Caenorhabditis elegans: one gene and its partner. The protein of the gene in region 1 interacts with the protein of each later gene in a pairwise test. Each region holds a gene or a part of one and is shown in the gene's direction. Other genes may lie near its edges.

Region 1 (9,069 bases):
ATTAAAGGGAGTATTTTGTGAAGTTAGCTACTGATAAAAAAATTAATGTTGAAAAGATTACGAATCTTACAAATAAATTTTTACAGTCGTGATCAGCAGCTCAAAATGATTTTTGACTTAAAATTATTAACTCTCTAATTTTTTCCACGCACATACCATTATCCTTTTTTGGCAACAAATCCTCTTTGTCCTCTTCCCATTCAGTACTGGAGAACACATCAGAAATGGATTTTGACCTGATTCGAATTAAAGCGTTTGTTGTCATGGTAACACTTGATAGAAGAAAGCTGAAATTACTTATGTGGAGAGATTTCAGAAAACAAAATAACTAGTAAAGAAATTATAAAAGAGAAATTTTAAAAAGCAGAAATTTATATAGGAGAACACAAATTACTAACAAGAATACATTTTCGAAGGTACAACAGGAATTGTGACGCAACAGAAATGGAATTTGTCAGAATAGAACGCTTGATTTATGAGCAAGATAGAATAAAGAGAATGTAAGTTGAAATAAAAACTGAAAAATATATAATTCCAGAAAATAAGCATGAGTCTAAAAATACCTCCAAACCATATTCCTGGAAAATTAAAAGTTGATTAATTCGGAAAAAAGTTCTCACAGAAGCTCTAATTTAAGTCTTGTTAAGTTTGGTCTAGGTCTAGGTCTAGGTCTAGGTCTAGGTCTAGGTCTTAGTTTCGCATTTTCTTAATGTTTTTCAAAGATTCTGTAGCAGTTCAAAGTTCTGATTACGCCATTCTACTCCGAAGCGTTCAGCTAGTGTCAATTTTTACAAAACTGATCACTCTCATTATTTTTCTGTCTTCTGTGAACCGTTTTATTACCCCATCTTGACACCATTAAAGGTTCCAAATACCTATCGGCTGCAGTTCTCCGTGAAATCAGCAGATGCTAATCTTGCCTAATTTGCAATAATTCATCGTGACGGTGACGTGATTCAATGCAAAGGACTGCTAGTTAATTGGATCGCCCTCCTCAAAATATGCCACCAATTTTTCGGTTTTTTTCACGGCGATTTCTTTGCTGAGTTTCAAGAATAATTGGCAAGCGAGAAGTCGAAAAAACGAGGCGTTGAGAAGACGAGTTTCCGATGTTAATCAAGCAGAAGATTTTTGGAAAATTAAGTGGGGAAAAATATGTTGGAAATGATGAGTAGGCAGATTGAGATTGCATCTTTCGGTATATGTAGTATTTTGTTTTATTGAACATTAGTGTTTTGACGTAGCCACTGATATTAACCATTAAAGTTTATAAAGTTTTGGTTTAAATTTTAGTTTCAAAAACCTGGACCTAGACCTAGACCTAGGCCTACACCTAGACCTAGACGGATAATGTCGTCCTCTTTCCTTTTCGTAGTCATTACTTAGCCGAACTAATAAGTAACTAACAACCGGAAGAAATCTTCAAGACAAGCACATGTACATATATCTAGCGTTTCCTAATAAAACACTCTATTCCCGAGAAATTGTTCACTTTGAGGAACACCAAACAAGACAAATGTCGTCCAGAAAAATCACAAATTCATGCCCCTTTTATCAAAAAAACAACTTGCTACTTTTTGAACTTTGGCCACCGAGGCTATCAGTTTTATCAATTTTATCATTGCGAAAGTTCGAATCAAAAGTATCAGGAACACACCTAATTATTTTCTCATTGGAAATCCGTTCCTTCTCGACATTTCTCTATTTTTTAGAGGAGATACGAATGACATGATCGACTAGGGGGTAAGAAGGGCACCACTTTCGCCGGCAAAAAGCGGTGAAGCTATTCATCCAGCTGTTAATTGCATTAGAAATAGTCCTCTACAAGGTATGCTTAGAGACTATTTGTATGTTGCTTGTGCCTTCTGATACTTCTTCTTTTCTAGAAAAAGTAGTGAGAGTCTCAATCCAATTATACAGTCTTTTCAAAACAATGTGTATCGACGGTTATAATGCCCTGATTTGGAGTCATTTGGTTTTAGATTCATATTGGGAAAGCTTCTCATAAGGCTGCCCATTTTTAATTAGTACTTCATTCTCTTTTAGTTTTCAATTGGCAGACAGTTGTTTCAAAGCTTCTCCTCAGATTTTGAAAAAATCCAATTCTATTATAAAATTTATTTTCGATTTGTTTTGTTTTGTATAGGCTTTAGGAACAGCTGGTTCATGATCTCCAGAAAATTGTGCCAAAATTTCACGCGTTCGTTTGAACCGGCACCAAACGGTGCATTTAGTGTGACGTTTTATTATATTTTAGAATGTTCTGGAGAACACACTGGAAAGGCCTACTTTTCAGACGTCGCGGAAAATTTTCTGAATTGCGTGTGACGTCACAAAAACACATAAAAAATGTGCCGATACTTCAAGGGATCTCGCTATGTAGGGACTCTTTTAGCAAATCTCAATTGAGACCTCAGAATTAATCTGCCAATATGAAGGCTCTGTAAATGTCACACAGAACCTGATAATTTTTTAGTATGAAAAAAATAGTTATAGAAAATTCTAATTTCTCAAATCGTAAAATTTTGAAACTCAATAAGAAACTTAAACTTTTGTGATATGTGAACTGAAAATAATGTGTACTTTTACCATTAATCTAGCCGAAAATGTTCACCTCATTGCGCTTTAACACACTATTTTGTAGCTTTTAGCTGGATAAGTTGTGAGTAACAACCGTCATGCCTATCAACTGCCTGCGTGCCTACAATAAGGTTCCAAGCCTACCTACACTTATTTTGTCATGAGTCCCCATTCCGATTCATTCACGAATTTTCCTGAACGGGAAAGCAGGCGTAGGTAGACTTCAACCCATGTCTTGCGCGCTCGTAACCTCAGAAGATGTCTGGATAAAAATCATTCCAAAATAGGCATAGGCCGCCTCCCAGGCTGAGTGTTCATGGGTGCTTGTAGGCATACAGGTAGACTTATAACGCTTGCGCGACAAACTCAGAGAGTTGCTTGGCTACGTTTTAAATTTTCCAGTTTCGAATAACTTTAAATATACCCCCCCCCCCCCCCCAGTTATGAGCTGCCAAGCTTGAACGATACCACACTGTAAAAAAGAAAAGCTGGGAGAAAGGGGCGCCTTCCATGACACCTTCGCCTAGAATTAGGTCTAAGTTTAGATCTAGTCCCCTTTTTTCTAAACTTCTTCTTCAGTTCCTAGTGTCTAGTTTACAGGTAATCTCTTAATTTCATCTGATTTTGTCTTCCAACTAAACTTTTGATTTCTGCCACGCCAGATTTTTGGAATGGCGTCAGCTGCTTCAAAATACTAAAAAAATCTAATCGAAGATCAAGATAATCCGAAAAATCAAATACAACCTTGGCAATAGTACAAGTGTCTGGCCGCTGTGGAAAACAATCATTTTCACTGTTTTCTTAACAAGAAATGCCATTTGCGGCAAATATTCATCCAATTAACAAATTACACGGGGTCTCTCATGCATCTAAGTGCGGTTTATTACAAGTATATGGGGAATCCACTCTGTGGATATAACCGTCTAGAATGTTCCACACATCTAGTTTTCAATTGTGTTGTTGACTTAAAAACTTTGGCATCTACTTTCAGGGTTTTGTATTAAACTAAAGTACTTTGAAGGCATTTTCCAGTTCTTCTAGTCGCTTTAAAGATTAGTATTTGGAAAAATTGAAGAATTCTAGCCTAGCAGTTCACACCTATAATTAACTATTTTTCTCACAAGGGCTTTACAGTTTTGGCTAGATTCTCAGTTTTCAAAGACTACCCCTCAATTCTGTTCCCTCTCCGGAATTCTCACTTTCACAGATTTGTTTTCTCATCCAAACGGACTGTGATTATGTATGCATTTCCTTCTTCTTCTTTTCTTTTCCTCAATGTTTTTCGGCTTTACCTTCCCCTTCTCACATGCCAAAACAGTGTGTTTATATCTCGAGATTCCTGGGAGGGAAAACTGCGTTTCCCATGTGTCGATTCTAATTGATTTGTTAGCCGTTTGATGCGCTTTTTGTGAACACAAAAAGCACGGTGTTTCCGCCCTTTTGTTCGAGATTTGTGACCAAAGCTAGCGCGGCTTATATGGACGTTTGGACTGTTATAGGCTACGGTTTCGGATTTCAATCTCCTTGAACCTATTTATCTCTTGATTTTTTTGTTTTTTTATTGTTTGTTTTGTTTTTGAAAATACTAGGAACTTGCAGTTAATAGAATGTGAATTAAGTTTAGATAATTACTTTTGCGTTGAAATTTTTCTAAAATAAACTCAAATAAAAAACAAGAGTCAGTTTGTCAAATTGAAGTTTATGAGCTAATAAATGTAAAAACCTCCATTATGCTGCACTTGTTGTAGTTATTTCAATTTACAGCTAGGTAGGTCTACTTCCTAGAGCCCAACTTCCAACTGAGCATTTGGCTTGAAAAATATGCTACTGGAAAACTAAAAACTTCCCCGTCAGTAAATTTCAAGAGACTAGAGTTTCCAAGAGCCTAGTAAAAGACTAGTGGAAATATGGAAGTTTACCTCTGAAAATCTGATTTAAACAATGAAATTTTTAGCTTTCCACCAATCAACTGAATTTCTGTTTGTTGCCGTGCAACGCTCTTTAGGGTTTTAATAAAATTAGTACCGTTTTTTTAACTTTCAAAAGTCGGAATTTGGATTTTGCAGAAATATTTTAAAACTTAATTCACAAGGTTGGCTTTTTTTAGTAAGAAATCTACAGGCTGTCAATAACCATTTCCTCGTTTTTGAAGTTTCAATTTCTCTCTATTTTCTACACCACTTCTCTCTACTTTTTACTCTAATTTTCTTCTCATTTCAATAATTTTCAGAAATGTTACACAGGCCGAAACTTACAGTAATCCTATCAGTATTACTCACCTTCCGGTTAGCGGATTGCTGGTTCCTCTCAATGGTGCGTTTTCATGGATATTCAATTTAGAACAAAATTATTTCAGCTCGGTGGTGGTGCTGGTGGTTGCCAAAATCAATGTCCGCCAGCTTACTCTGGGTATTATCAATCTCGGAATTATAATCCTCCGCAACAGGTAATCTGACGATAAAGATTTGGAAGGTGCAAAAACTAATGAGTAGACATTTTTCTGATAAGAATAGAAAATGAGCTGGTGATAAAGCTCCTGGCAAACTCTCACGCCTCCTACTTTCAGTCCAATGAGCATTGTGAGAAACTTGAAGAAAATTCGAAGAAAAAATAATTCAGAAATAGAAATTGATATGGTGACTGATTTTCAGAGTATTAGAGTGGGAATTCATTTGGCTGATAACTCAACCAATTTTTTGTTGAATCTTAGAATGGCCTTGGCAAATCTAAATTTGTAAAGCCTAAAACTTTTCAGCGATTCAACTACGGTTTGCCTCCTCCAACACCGCCTGCAAATTCATATGCAACTGCTCCAGCAAACTATGCGGCTCCTTCAAACGCCTACCCATTTGCTCCTCAATACTCAATTCCAATGAACTCATATGCTATGCCAAAATACGCAGTTGCTCCCCAATATGCAATGGTTCCATATCCAACCCCTCCAGCTTACGTTAGACCTCCACCGGTTTATGTCACACCTCCACCTGTATATATAACCCCACCACCAACTACAACTACTACAATTCCACCACCAAAATGTTTCCAAAACACTCAGGGATACAAATGTTGCAATCGACAGTTGGATCAATTTTTAGAACAGAAAGTTGGAGAGATGTTGAAGCCAGAATGGCAGAGATGTAATCTGCAACGATTTGCAACACAGCTTCAGGTTTGGTTCAGGGTCATTTTATTGATTTGCATATTAGGAGAGAAGTTGGGTGGGGTCGTTCTCAAGGTTCGGAGATTGAACTGCGAATTGAGGGGACTAGGTATAAGTTTAGATCATTTGAAACAGGATAAATTGAAGTGTTTTCAAAAAACTTAATTTTTTAGCCGTTTCTTTTGAAACAGTTGTCAAGTGCTCTACATAAAAAAATCTAAATGTTTTCAGCACGAAACGCAACAAATGTTCAATCATTCAATGGAAGCAATCGTTGCCAGTGGAGAAGTACAAAATCTTTCAAATTACCGCGGAGACCTTTATTGCAAAAAGCGGAGTCGAGACGGAAAGGTATTATTCACATATCTACTTATCGAATCAAAATCTAAATTTCAGATTGTTGTGATATATGGCTCAGCAGTTCCATATTCTCTAGATACCGGAGTGACTCGTCCAATGAACGATGACGAGTTGAGAACTCAAATGTATCCGGCTAAGTATGATGAAATTGGAGTGCATGATGGACATGAAGAGAACATTTGGTTCTAGGAATATTTATTTGAATTAATTCTTGTTTTTAATTATTTCGAAGTAGCCTATTTATAATTGTTGAAATCTTTTTTAAATATTTCCAAAAATTTCCAAATTTCCATCTCCAAAATTGATCTTGAATTTATTCTCCAGCCAATTCTTTTTCATCTTTTATTTTTTTTCAGCTTTTTATTATTTTAACTTTATACTTTGAATTAATAATTATATATTTCTTTTTTTCATATTGTTCTATGCTCACTTGTATATAAAAGGAAATAAAGTTCTCTCCTCGTTTCTTGTTGAACGCCCGTTTCCATGGTAACCGTCATTTTCGGAGTGCAGCGGAGCATTTTACTCCTTTTTCTCCAATATTGCTCAATTTATTAGTATGAACATTTGGGATCTTGCCAAACAGAAATTAGTGGAAAATAAGCAACGAGCTGCAGAGCTAAAACAGAAATTAGATGATGAAAATGGAACACAAAGTGATAATTATTGTGAGTTTTTTTTGTTAATTTTATTTAATTATTTGTGAAATTTTAGTTCAATCTTGAAAATAAAAAACTCTAAAATATTAAATCTTCTGTTAAAATAATTTCAATTCCGAAAACAAGTTTTCTATCTGAAAGGGAAATTTTTTGAGAAAAGTTGTTGTTTTTATCCTATATTTTTGTTTTTTTTTGTAATTTTTTTATTATCAGAAAAAATATTATATCTCACAAATTTCAAAAAAAATTGTCAGAAAATGTTTTTGTAGGAATATTCTGGATAAAAAATTTCACAACAAATATGTAACAGTCGAAATATGAGCTTCTGGAAAATGATATTTACTTTTTTTAAACAAATTTCAGTATCAGAAGTTCGTCGGAGACACGAATCGCATATCATTTTTGCTGGGAATCGAAAAAGTGTACGTTTTTTTCTAATTTTTTAGAAGTCTTCATTTTGAGTAGTTTTTCAGGGAAAATCCTCATTCATGCTGAATTTCCTAGAACGAAAAGAAGATTTGAAGGATTCCGTAGGATTGGAATACACTTATGCCAGGAGAACTCGAGGAAATGTGAGTTACTTTTTTTTAGGCTTAAATTTGAAATAGAGATTATGATTTAGGTGAAAGATATCGCGAATTTGTGGGAGCTTGGTGGTGGAGCAACTGTTACGGAACTGCTTTCAGTTCCTATCACAATGAAAAATGTCGAGTGAGTTTTTTTTTCAAATCAGTGTAGTTAGTTTTTACATTTGCGCAGTATGAGGAGTGGAGTGTTTCACTCTAATAGGCTCACATGGCAAAAAAAAGACAAAAAAAGACATACATAGGTTCAAAAACAACTACACTAAGAACAAGGAAACGTCTTGTCAAGAAGTTTATATCTATTCCTACAGCTAAAGAATCAAAAATTCAATTTAGAAATAAGTGAGTCAATGAGAGATGAGTCAATAAGTATTCACCTTATTCGTGCGGGGGGCTGAGCTGGATGAATCATTCGCCAATACAGTTAGGAAAGCGTTTTTCAGATATTCAGCCTTTCAGATATTCAGCTTTTTAGATATTAGGTTTGAGTATGAACTGCTCCGTAATATTTTTCAACAAATATCATTTCTACTTTTCAGAATTTGCTCTTTGATCTTGCTTCTCGATATGACAAATCTTGACGAAATGTGGATAACAATCGAAAAAACGGTGGACTCTGTTCGACGCCTCGTTGAGAATCTCGAACGGCAAGATATTAACCTCCAAACTCGCTTGGCTGAAAAAATGCGTCTCCGCCTCGAAAAATACGACGATGGAAGTTTGAAGATGTGCAATCCATGTCCTATACCGGTGACTATTGTCGCTTCGAAATACGATGAATTTCAAAATTTTGAATCTGAAAAACGACGGCATCTTTGTCAGTTTCTTCGATTCCTCGCCTATTCGTATGGAGCGAATTTGATGATGTTTTCGTCGAGAATGGAACAATTTCCGAAGCTCGTGAAGAATATGACGAGTCATTTCGCATTTGGCACTGTTTGTCCGCAAGGTTATATGACTGATCATAATAAACCAATGTTTGTGAAATGCGGTTTTGATAGTTTAGAGGTGAGCGTTCGAATAGATTTCAATCAACACAATCTGCCTACCTACATACCTCACTTTTTACCTACACAGTTCAAGACAGTCAACTCTTACAAATTTTTTTTTTTCGTTTACATAAATTGGCAACACTTCTTGTTCGCGTTCTGAAACTCCTACGTTTTCGTTGTTTCCCCCAACAAGAATTATGTTTTCAGTCTATTGGAATACCTCCTGCATCAGACAATTTTATGGGAGCTTCATCCCCATTCAATTTATGGAGAGAGTCATTTATCAGCCTCTGGCCTCAAAAGGTAAGTGGAGCACCTTCTTGCCTGCCTTCTTGGTTAAAATTTTTAAAAATAGATAGGAGACAGGCAAGCATCAGGCTAGCACGCATATCTATCTTTTTACAGACTGGGACAATTGACATTGAGGATACAAAGAAACAAGATCCAATGATTGATCCGGTATTTAAAGAGCCGAATATTGACAATCTTGTGGAAATCAAGCGGAAAGAACTCAAAAATCACATAAGATCAAAGAGAGATCGGGAGGCTGCAGAGGCACGTGCGGCCGATCGAATCGCAAAAATTAATGTTCGATAATCTGAATTTATTTGAACTGTGAAATGAATCTGGTAGTTTTTAATTGAAATTCAAAGATTAGAGAGTGATGGACATTTGATTTTATTGTGTGAATGTTTGTAATTTTTTTCGAGTATCTATGACAATTTGTAAGGAAA
Region 2 (8,607 bases), on another chromosome or scaffold:
CTTTGTGCTTGTAGTCGCTCCTTGATTGTGCATGACTTTTCTCTCGCTTCTCAATAGAACACGTTGGTTTTTCTCATTATTCGATTAATCAGTAGCAAAACAGTGTATCCTCGAAAAATCATAAATGTTGGGTTCCTAATTTTTGCCATCAGAATTCGAAGTCGGCCGAATGATTTTGAGTTACTCCGTTATACATTCTTCGCGCCACAAAAAATGTAATGGTTTTATTTTCCAGGTCAATCTTCAAGAATGAAGACCAACAAGAAGGATGAGGAAACCGGGGGAAACGTCTATGCTCACCTCGATAAGACCTCCGTTCTTCAGGAAGCTCGCGCCTTCAACGAGACACCGATCAACGCGAGGAAATGTTGTTTCATCTTGTCGAAGTTGATTTACATCATTCAACAAGGAGAATCAATCGGAAGAACAGAAGCAACTGAGGCCTTTTTTGGTGTCACAAAGCTTTGGCAGAGCAAGGATGTCAGTCTACGCCGCATGGTTTATCTCGCTGTGAAGGAATTGGCTGAAGTTTCTGATGATGTCATTATTGTCACTTCAAGTCTTACAAAGGATATGACTGGAAGAGAAGATCTCTACAGAGCAGCTGCGATACGTGCTCTTTGCAAGATTACCGACACTGGAATGTTGCAAACTATTGAAAGATACATGAAACAGGCTATCGTTGATCGAAACAGTGCGATTTCTTCATCGGCTATCGTCTCTTCCATTCATTTGATGCGTAAGTCTTCCGAGGTAGTTCGTCGTTGGGCTAATGAAGTACAAGAAGCTGTTTCATCGGACAACCACATGGTTCAATACCACGCTCTGGCCCTTCTCTATCAAATCCGTGCCAACGATCGTCTCGCTGTGAACAAACTCGTCCAGAAGTTCAGCAAAAATGCTCTTCGTAGTCCATATGCTGTGTGCTATTTGATCCGCATTGCCACTAGATGTCTTGTCGATGACGATCAGTAAGGGTTTTAATTGAACGTATGGTTCGATAATCAATTAAAAGTTGCAGGCCAGATTCTTCTGTTTTCACATTCATTGAATCGTGTCTTCGTCACAAGAGCGAGATGGTAGTCTATGAAGCAGCTAGAGCCATTGTTTCACTTCCACAAACCACTCCGTAAGCATTGTATAATTTCTGAGTAAATTTATATTTCATTTTGCAGATCGGAGATTCAGCCAGCAATCACTGCTCTGCAAATGTGCTGCACTTCTCCAAAAGCAGCAGTTCGCTTTGCCGCAGTTCGAACTCTCAACAAAGTCGCAATGGCTCACCCGAACGCAGTTATGAGCTGCAATGTGGATCTTGAGAAGTTCATAACGGACCCGAACAGATCTATTGCAACTCTTGCCATCACCACCCTCCTCAAGACTGGAGCCGAGTCTAGTGTTGAAAGACTCATGCAACAAATCGCTGGCTTCGTAAACGAGATCTCGGATGAGTTCAAAATTGTTGTGGTCGATGCTATTCGCTCACTGTGCTCACGTTATCCTCGAAAGCATACTGTTATGATGCCTTTCCTTGCTAAGATGTTGCGTAGTGACGGAAGTTACGATTACAAGAAAGCAATTGTGGAAACTATTATTGCAATCATCGAAGAGAATCCAGATGCTAAAGTTGCTGGATTGGCTCACCTTTGCGAATTCATTGAAGACTGTGAGCACGATAATCTTTCTACTCGTGTTCTTCATCTCCTCGGGAGAGAAGCTCCAAAAACTCCAAACCCATCAAGCTACATTCGATTCATCTACAACCGCGTAATTTTGGAGAGCACCAAAGTTCGGGCCGCTGCAGTTACAGCTCTCGCCAAATTTGGAGCACAGTGCGTTGATTTGCGTCCATCGATTCAAGTTCTTCTGAAACGCTGCCTTTTGGATTCTGATGACGAAGTTCGTGATCGTGCCACCTTCTACCTCAAAATGCTTACTGAAGCAGCCGAAGGCCTCATTCACAACTTTATTCTTGACGGACTTCAAGTTTCGCCATCTGGTCTCGAGCGCTCAATTCTTGACTATCTCCGATCCGGATCTTACTCTTCTCCATTTGATCTTCGAGTTGTTCCTGTTACTCAACAAGCTCTTTCTCAACCTGAAAAACGTGTTCCTCAACTTGTGGAAGAAGAAGAGAAACCGAAAGCTCCTAAAGTTGAGCCATATGCTGCACAGCTGGCTGCTATTCCACAGTTTGCTGCTCTTGGTCCAGTCTTCAAGTCATCTACCAGAATTGCTCTCACGGAATCAATTGCTGAATACACTGTTCATATGATCAAGCATACATTTGCCAATGCCATGGTTCTGCAGGTATTTAAAAATAGTGAACTTTTGAAATCAATTATCGAATTTATTTTCAGTTTGAATGCAAAAATACAATGAATGACCAGCTTCTTCTTGATGTTTCTGTTGAATTGGAAGATCCAGATGGAGAATGGGAAACTGGAAATACTGTTCAAATTGATAAACTTCCCTATGGAGAAGTTCATTCAGCCTTTTCACTTCTAGAATTCCCTGATTCTGGAGCCATCTCTGGAAGTTTAGGTGCTATTCTCAAGTTCAAGGTGATGGATGTAGATCCAACTTCCGGGGAACCTGATTCGGATGACACATACGAGCAAACATATGTGGTACGCTGTAGAATTCTTAATACATTTTTATAATTCTAAATTATTTTCAGCTGGAAGAAGTTGATGTTAATGTGTCGGATTCGGTTCAAGGAGTCGCAAAATCTTCATTTGGATCTGCTTGGGAAGCGTTGGGAGACGATGCAACAAGAGAAGAAACATTCCAATTGTCAACAGTGGAAAATATTCCTGATGCTGTCAAGAAAATATCTGAAATTTTGGGACTTGTTCCTTGTGAACGGTCCGATCGTGTTCCTGAAGGAAAGACGCAACACACAGTGTTCCTTTCCGGAGTTTTTCGTGGTGGATATGATGTTCTTTCGAAAGCCACGGTCGCGGTGGATCCAAACGACAATTCAATTGCCATGAATATTATTATCAAGTACGTTTTTTTCAAACATTTTTTGATATTGTATCCCAATTAGGTCAATCATATATTTGCTCCAAAATAAAATCTAGTACATATTTACATAATATTTATTAAACTTTTTAATTGATTTTAAGTGGAATCAGACAGTAATAATTGTTTGCAAAATTTTTCGAATTATGAAATAGCATTAAAATTGAAATTTAAAATTAAGCATTTTTAATGGTTTTGAGTCATTTCCTGATCTCTACTAATAGTAAGCACAATTTGAAATTCTAAAATTACAGATCGAATGAACCACTCGTCGCAGATTTGGTTATCTCCGCAGTTGTCTAAAATTATTCGGGAATGTCCTGCGCCGCTGTTTTTCTGATTTTAAATGTCACCGCATGTTTTTTTTTCTAATTTATTGACCGGCGTTCGACAATTGTGATGTATGTGTGTTTTAATTGGTATTTTTGCTTCTTATTTATTGTGCGTTTTCGTGTTTATAGCTATTGCTTCCAAAAAAATTGAAAAAATAAAATGGGAAGTCTCATTATACCTTCCTCGAGTTTACTGGTTACACAATAGAACACATGTTATAATTAATTTTTCCGGATCCTAACTAAAATGGGTTGGTAAGTTAAAGTTTCCAAAACAAGCTTGTTCGGCATCTTAATAGTTAGAGCAAAAAAAAGGATTGATCGATTCACCGAGCAGCTGTTCTCTTTTTTTTTGTGAAGAGCCGGATGATCACCAGGTCTCTTGAAATCTCGTGATATTTCGCTTCCGATTGAAAGTTTCGCAGTTTGTCGCCTCGAAAAATGAAAATATGTGACTCTAAAGCTATTTTTTAAAGTTTTTGTTACCGTAACATTAACAGTTATTATCGATTTCTGGTTTAACGTTGTCGTGAAATTGTGCACATTGGCCACACACTGTGAAGGTGCTAAGAAAAATGACCACTAGGTAACCCAAGAGCAATGTAAACAATTCTCGTTGTCTGTACTGACTCACTTCTTTGAGAAATCGTTTCTTTTCTTCACTTTTGTATTTTTTTAATCGAACCTTTCCGCAACCAAATCTTAAATCTTGAGATTTATTAAAGTTGACTCAAAAATTGAAAATGCGAGCACCTGTGACATTTCTAATCTTGTGCTCACTGGCTCTTCTCTGTTCATCAGCTAACAACTGTGCCTGGTTTGTCGGTCAATTACAATGTACGGACACTTCGAAATTGGAAAATGTGGTTGTAGAAATTTGGGACAAGGATCGATCTTTTGTAAGTTTTTTTATTTTTGAAATGTCGTTAATGTTGAACTGAAAAAAAATTAAATTACAGTTTCCAATTACTTTATTCGTTGATGATGATTTGGCTGGAAGAACTATTACTTCTGCAGATGACAATGGAACATTCAAAGTGGAAGGATGTGCTTCTGACCTCGATTTTCTTTTTATCAAAAATGAACCAGAATTTTATTTGAAAATTCGACACTACTGCAAAGGAAAGTGAGTTACAAAGCACTTGCTTCATAATAAATATTTAAATTTTTAATTATTTCAGGGCAGAAGTGACGCTTGTACACCCGAAAAATCCGAAGGTGTTCGTTCCACAAACTAACGATTATTTCACAAAACATCCTATTATTTTGGGATAGATGTTTAAGAGTTCAATAAATGTATTTTATATTTGAATTTTCTACACACAAATGTTGTTTAATTGGTCTTCCAATCCATAACTTATTTTATCAAACTAAACTTGGCAAAAAAGTTGAAATTGAACATGTCATATCATCAATTAAAATGTAGCTATGACCTTCCCCAAAATTCTACATTGGAATCATCAGAAACTAGTCAGTTTGATCGCTTTTCAATGATTAATTCTCCAACCTCCCTCAAGGTTTTTCTATTCAATCGATTCTTCACGATATGGGTGTCCTCTTTCTTTTTGGTGGATTTTCCTGTTCTTATCATCCATTTGTTTCCGAGAAACATGGAAAAAGGACACAATATTTTTCACTGGCTAATAGAAATAGTATAGTTTTATTTTTATAGCTGTGAATTAAGAATAAAAATGAAAATAAAATCAAAAATCTTCTCGCAGAAGGCACCGTACACTAACAATTTGGGCGCAAGTCCAAAAGCGTCGCTGCGGTCTCGTAGCGATGTGTAAATATTTTTCCTCAGTAGCTATGCGCCTTTGAATATTGGTACTGTCACAACTATAGTGTTTCCTCAATTTTGTTTTTTATTTCTCGAGATTTCTCTTCTAATTTAAGAAATCTTAACTAGTTTGAATTATTTTTTAGTGTTTAAATGATATTTAGTTGTCCAATTCTTTAGTTAAAATTCCGTGCGTTTTAACCTCACTTTTCCATCGTTTCAGTTTCAGACACGAGAAACTGGTTCAAGAAATACTTCAAACTTTCTTTTTCTCTTCATTCTTGAAAATTTTACTTTTTCTTGTTTGTTTTGGCAATTCAATCTGTTTCGATCCAACCACAAATGTTTGACGTCATCCGGCAGTTGTGAATAGCTTGATTTTCATTTTGCGGCAGCTTCACCGTATTCTTTGTGTCAATCAAGAATTTTTATAAATGAGTAGTTGGAGGTGTCAATCATTAGGCCTCAGACAATCAAAACTCCATTTTTCAATATATTTAATTTTCAATGCAGTTTGTTTCTAACGTTTCCAACTTTAATCCCACAAAAAATGACGTGCGAATGATTCATAATAATCTGAAATTTAGTTTAGTTTATCCAACTCCTTGTTTATGGTGAAATTGGTGAATAAAAAATAAAAGTGGCACATGTTTTTAATTGAAAAATAAATTGAACATTCAAAATCCTATTATAATCCGTTATTCTCCCTTTTGATGAAACATCGATCTGTTCTGAAATGAAATCATTCAAAATATTTCGTTTCTGAATCCATTCTGTCCAACTTTCCTTTTTTCAGATTTAACATAAAATAACCACTAACAATGCTCAAATCGCTTATAATTATCTGCGTTTCCATTCTTCCCATATCTCTTGCTGGTAGAGAATGTGTCTGGGTTCTAGGAAAAGTCGAATGTCAAAATGATCCGACCAAGAATCTGAATGTTGAGGTTAGATTTTTATCAGTTTCTCCTGAAATTGATAGTGAATTCATTTTTGCAGAAATATTTCAACAAAACACTATTTCAGATTCGTGTCTGGGATCGTGATGGTCCAGGACCACTTCAAATGATAGACCCAGATGATTTGATGGGTGTCACATTTTCCAATGATGACGGACGTTTCCAATTGGACGGATGTGGAGATGATTTCGATTGGATTCCGGGAGTTAAGAATGTTCCAGAACCATATATTGAAGTTAGTTTTTTAATCATCAGTTCGATATCAAAAATGTTGTTTTCCAAGTTTCATTGAATTTTTGAAACATTACGAGCCTATGAAATTCAAAATCTTTAAGAAAACTGTTATAATTTTTCTGTAATCTACTAAAAGATAATTTTCAGATTCGTCATTACTGTAACAGTGAAAAAGGAGACATCTTCCAACTTCCAGAATTCAGTACTTTTGTTCCAAATACCTATGATATCGGAACCATCGTTCTTGACAAGGAGACTCGTGGAATTAAAACGACACAGAAAGCTGATCCAACTCAATAATTTATTCTTTTCCATTTTAATCTTTTTTATCCCATTTGCCATTCATCGCGTTATTCATTCCAAAATCTTGTTTGTTTTGTACTTTTATCTTCATATCTAAATATTTGTACAGTCGGAATTTGAATTATTTTCTATGAATTCAAAACTCATTCCCACTTTAAATCGTTCCCATCAATTGTTTTCTTGCCTCGATTTTCTTCTGTGATTTCACTTCCTTCTTGCATAACATTTTTGAATTTTTTTTTCATTAGTCTTCAGTTTTACTAATTTTTGGTGTTTAACCAAGCTATGAACTATCTACTAACCTCTCCAGGAAGACTTCAAGTACGAAGTAAAAAAAAATCACTCATCGCAGTTGTCCCATGAAAATCCTGGAAATGTGTGGTTTTTCTCTAGTTTTACGGTTTAGTGTATTTCAGCAAAACCCTATAAACTCTACTCAGAATGAACACTCCATTCAAACTTGAATACTTGAATACTTTTTAATTTCAATGAAAAATTTCGCAAATATGATACCTGTAAACCAAAATTTACCACCATACATGATCTACTTCAATTTCATCTAGATCATTCATATTTTTTTGAATTTTTCTTTTAAAAAGTGAACATTGCTCGAAACTTTTTTTTTATATTTTGTGCTTTTCAAAACTTTAGTTCAAAAATATACTTTTTGAACGTTTTCTGTCATTCATAAAATACCAAATAACATTTCCTTCTAGTATTTGATGTTTGTCAAATATCCATAGACCTAGGTTCAATTCGCCAACTTACTAGGTATCTACAACGAACATGGACTAACCTATTCGAATTATAAATTTGCCTTTGAACACGAAAAATTGAAAAGATCAGTGCCAAATTAAACATTAGAGAGATGAAGAACACTTTCGAAAATCCGGATTAGCCGCCATCCATTGGTTTGTAGCCTTTTTTGATTAAAACGAGAATACAGAGAAACACCAGAGACAGTGCGGCTTTTCAATTCATTTTTGTTCATTGTCTCCTTTTTTCTCCACACAATTCAATATTTTTTCGTTTCTTTTTTCCAAATATTTGCAAAGCTGTCGCTCTTCCTTTTTAGTGATTTTAGCTGGCTATTAGATTGAAAATGTCTGAAATCTTAAGTTTCGATCTAATAAATGAAGCATCCTTCGACCATTCAGGTTTATAACGTTCTTTTTCGTTGATTTTGCATCCTCATTTAGCAGTCTTATCTAATTTTCAAAATGATTTTTAATTCAGATTGTCTGTGAAAAAATCGGATAGAAATGTGAAAAACCATGTATGGGAAAGCGTTTAAAAGGAAAAAAATATGTTTCACCTTCAGTCCATTTCCTTTAAAAATCATTTCATTGAATTCGTTTTGTTTTAAAATTATATCTCGCATCGAATTTTGTCTCGCAATAATTTTGTTTCAAAAAATGAATTATGAACTTTCAAACAGTTTTTGAAAATAGTTGTGGTAGTCCTTTAGGAAGTCTTAAAATTAACCAATTTGTTGTCAAATTCCTCATTGAAATTTTCAACTACTAACCGATCAATTTTGCGATTACTGAATCTTCCAAAAACTGCCTACCTGCCTTAATCAATGCCTATCTTGCCTCGGTCGGGTGTTCATCATCTTCAAGGCAAGATATGCCTACCTTGAAGGCACGCATGTGGGTATTGCCTAGACAAATGTAATTCCTAGTTTTTCGCTGAGTTTATAGTTTTTAGTTTTAAAAACTTTGTAATCAGAAGCCCAAGTATATTCTAATTCGGTCCAAATAATAGCTTGTTGTCTTCTTTCGTTAATTGTGTGTACCACTTTGTAAGCATTGAGTATAAGACTATACACAAGATACTCAGGCAACTCAAATCTAATATGAAAATATTAAATAGCAATATTTTTGTAGTTGGGTGATATTTTAAGATAAAATCGCAATATTCCGAGACTTATTCGAAATCTTTTTAGATTGAGCAATCTTTTGAGAATATT

What was found.
Region 2: the proteins of grd-12 (region 1) and ttr-54 interact in a two-hybrid assay, tested with the Caenorhabditis elegans proteins (one large-scale study listed by BioGRID).

The regions. Positions count from the first base shown.
Region 1 is NC_003283.11:14,973,695-14,982,763, forward strand, and holds grd-12 (Ground-like domain-containing protein), read left to right. Parts: upstream 1-4,810; 5' UTR 4,811-4,812; coding exon 4,813-4,893; exon of another isoform or gene 4,894-4,936; coding exon 4,937-5,026; intron 5,027-5,335; coding exon 5,336-5,749; intron 5,750-5,971; coding exon 5,972-6,091; intron 6,092-6,136; coding exon 6,137-6,289; 3' UTR 6,290-6,556; downstream 6,557-9,069. Other genes in the region: F02D8.1 (uncharacterized protein), read right to left, coding at 157-265; xbx-1 (Cytoplasmic dynein 2 light intermediate chain 1), read left to right, coding at 6,660-6,768, 7,123-7,181, 7,233-7,331, 7,382-7,470, 7,883-8,351, 8,543-8,638, 8,741-8,932.
Region 2 is NC_003282.8:10,152,103-10,160,709, forward strand, and holds ttr-54 (Transthyretin-like family protein), read left to right. Parts: upstream 1-3,672; 5' UTR 3,673-4,102; coding exon 4,103-4,258; intron 4,259-4,318; coding exon 4,319-4,485; intron 4,486-4,540; coding exon 4,541-4,634; 3' UTR 4,635-4,669; downstream 4,670-8,607. Other genes in the region: copg-1 (Coatomer subunit gamma), read left to right, coding at 236-971, 1,016-1,129, 1,176-2,310, 2,361-2,630, 2,681-3,009, 3,282-3,330; ttr-53 (Transthyretin-like family protein), read left to right, coding at 5,961-6,086, 6,166-6,333, 6,480-6,632.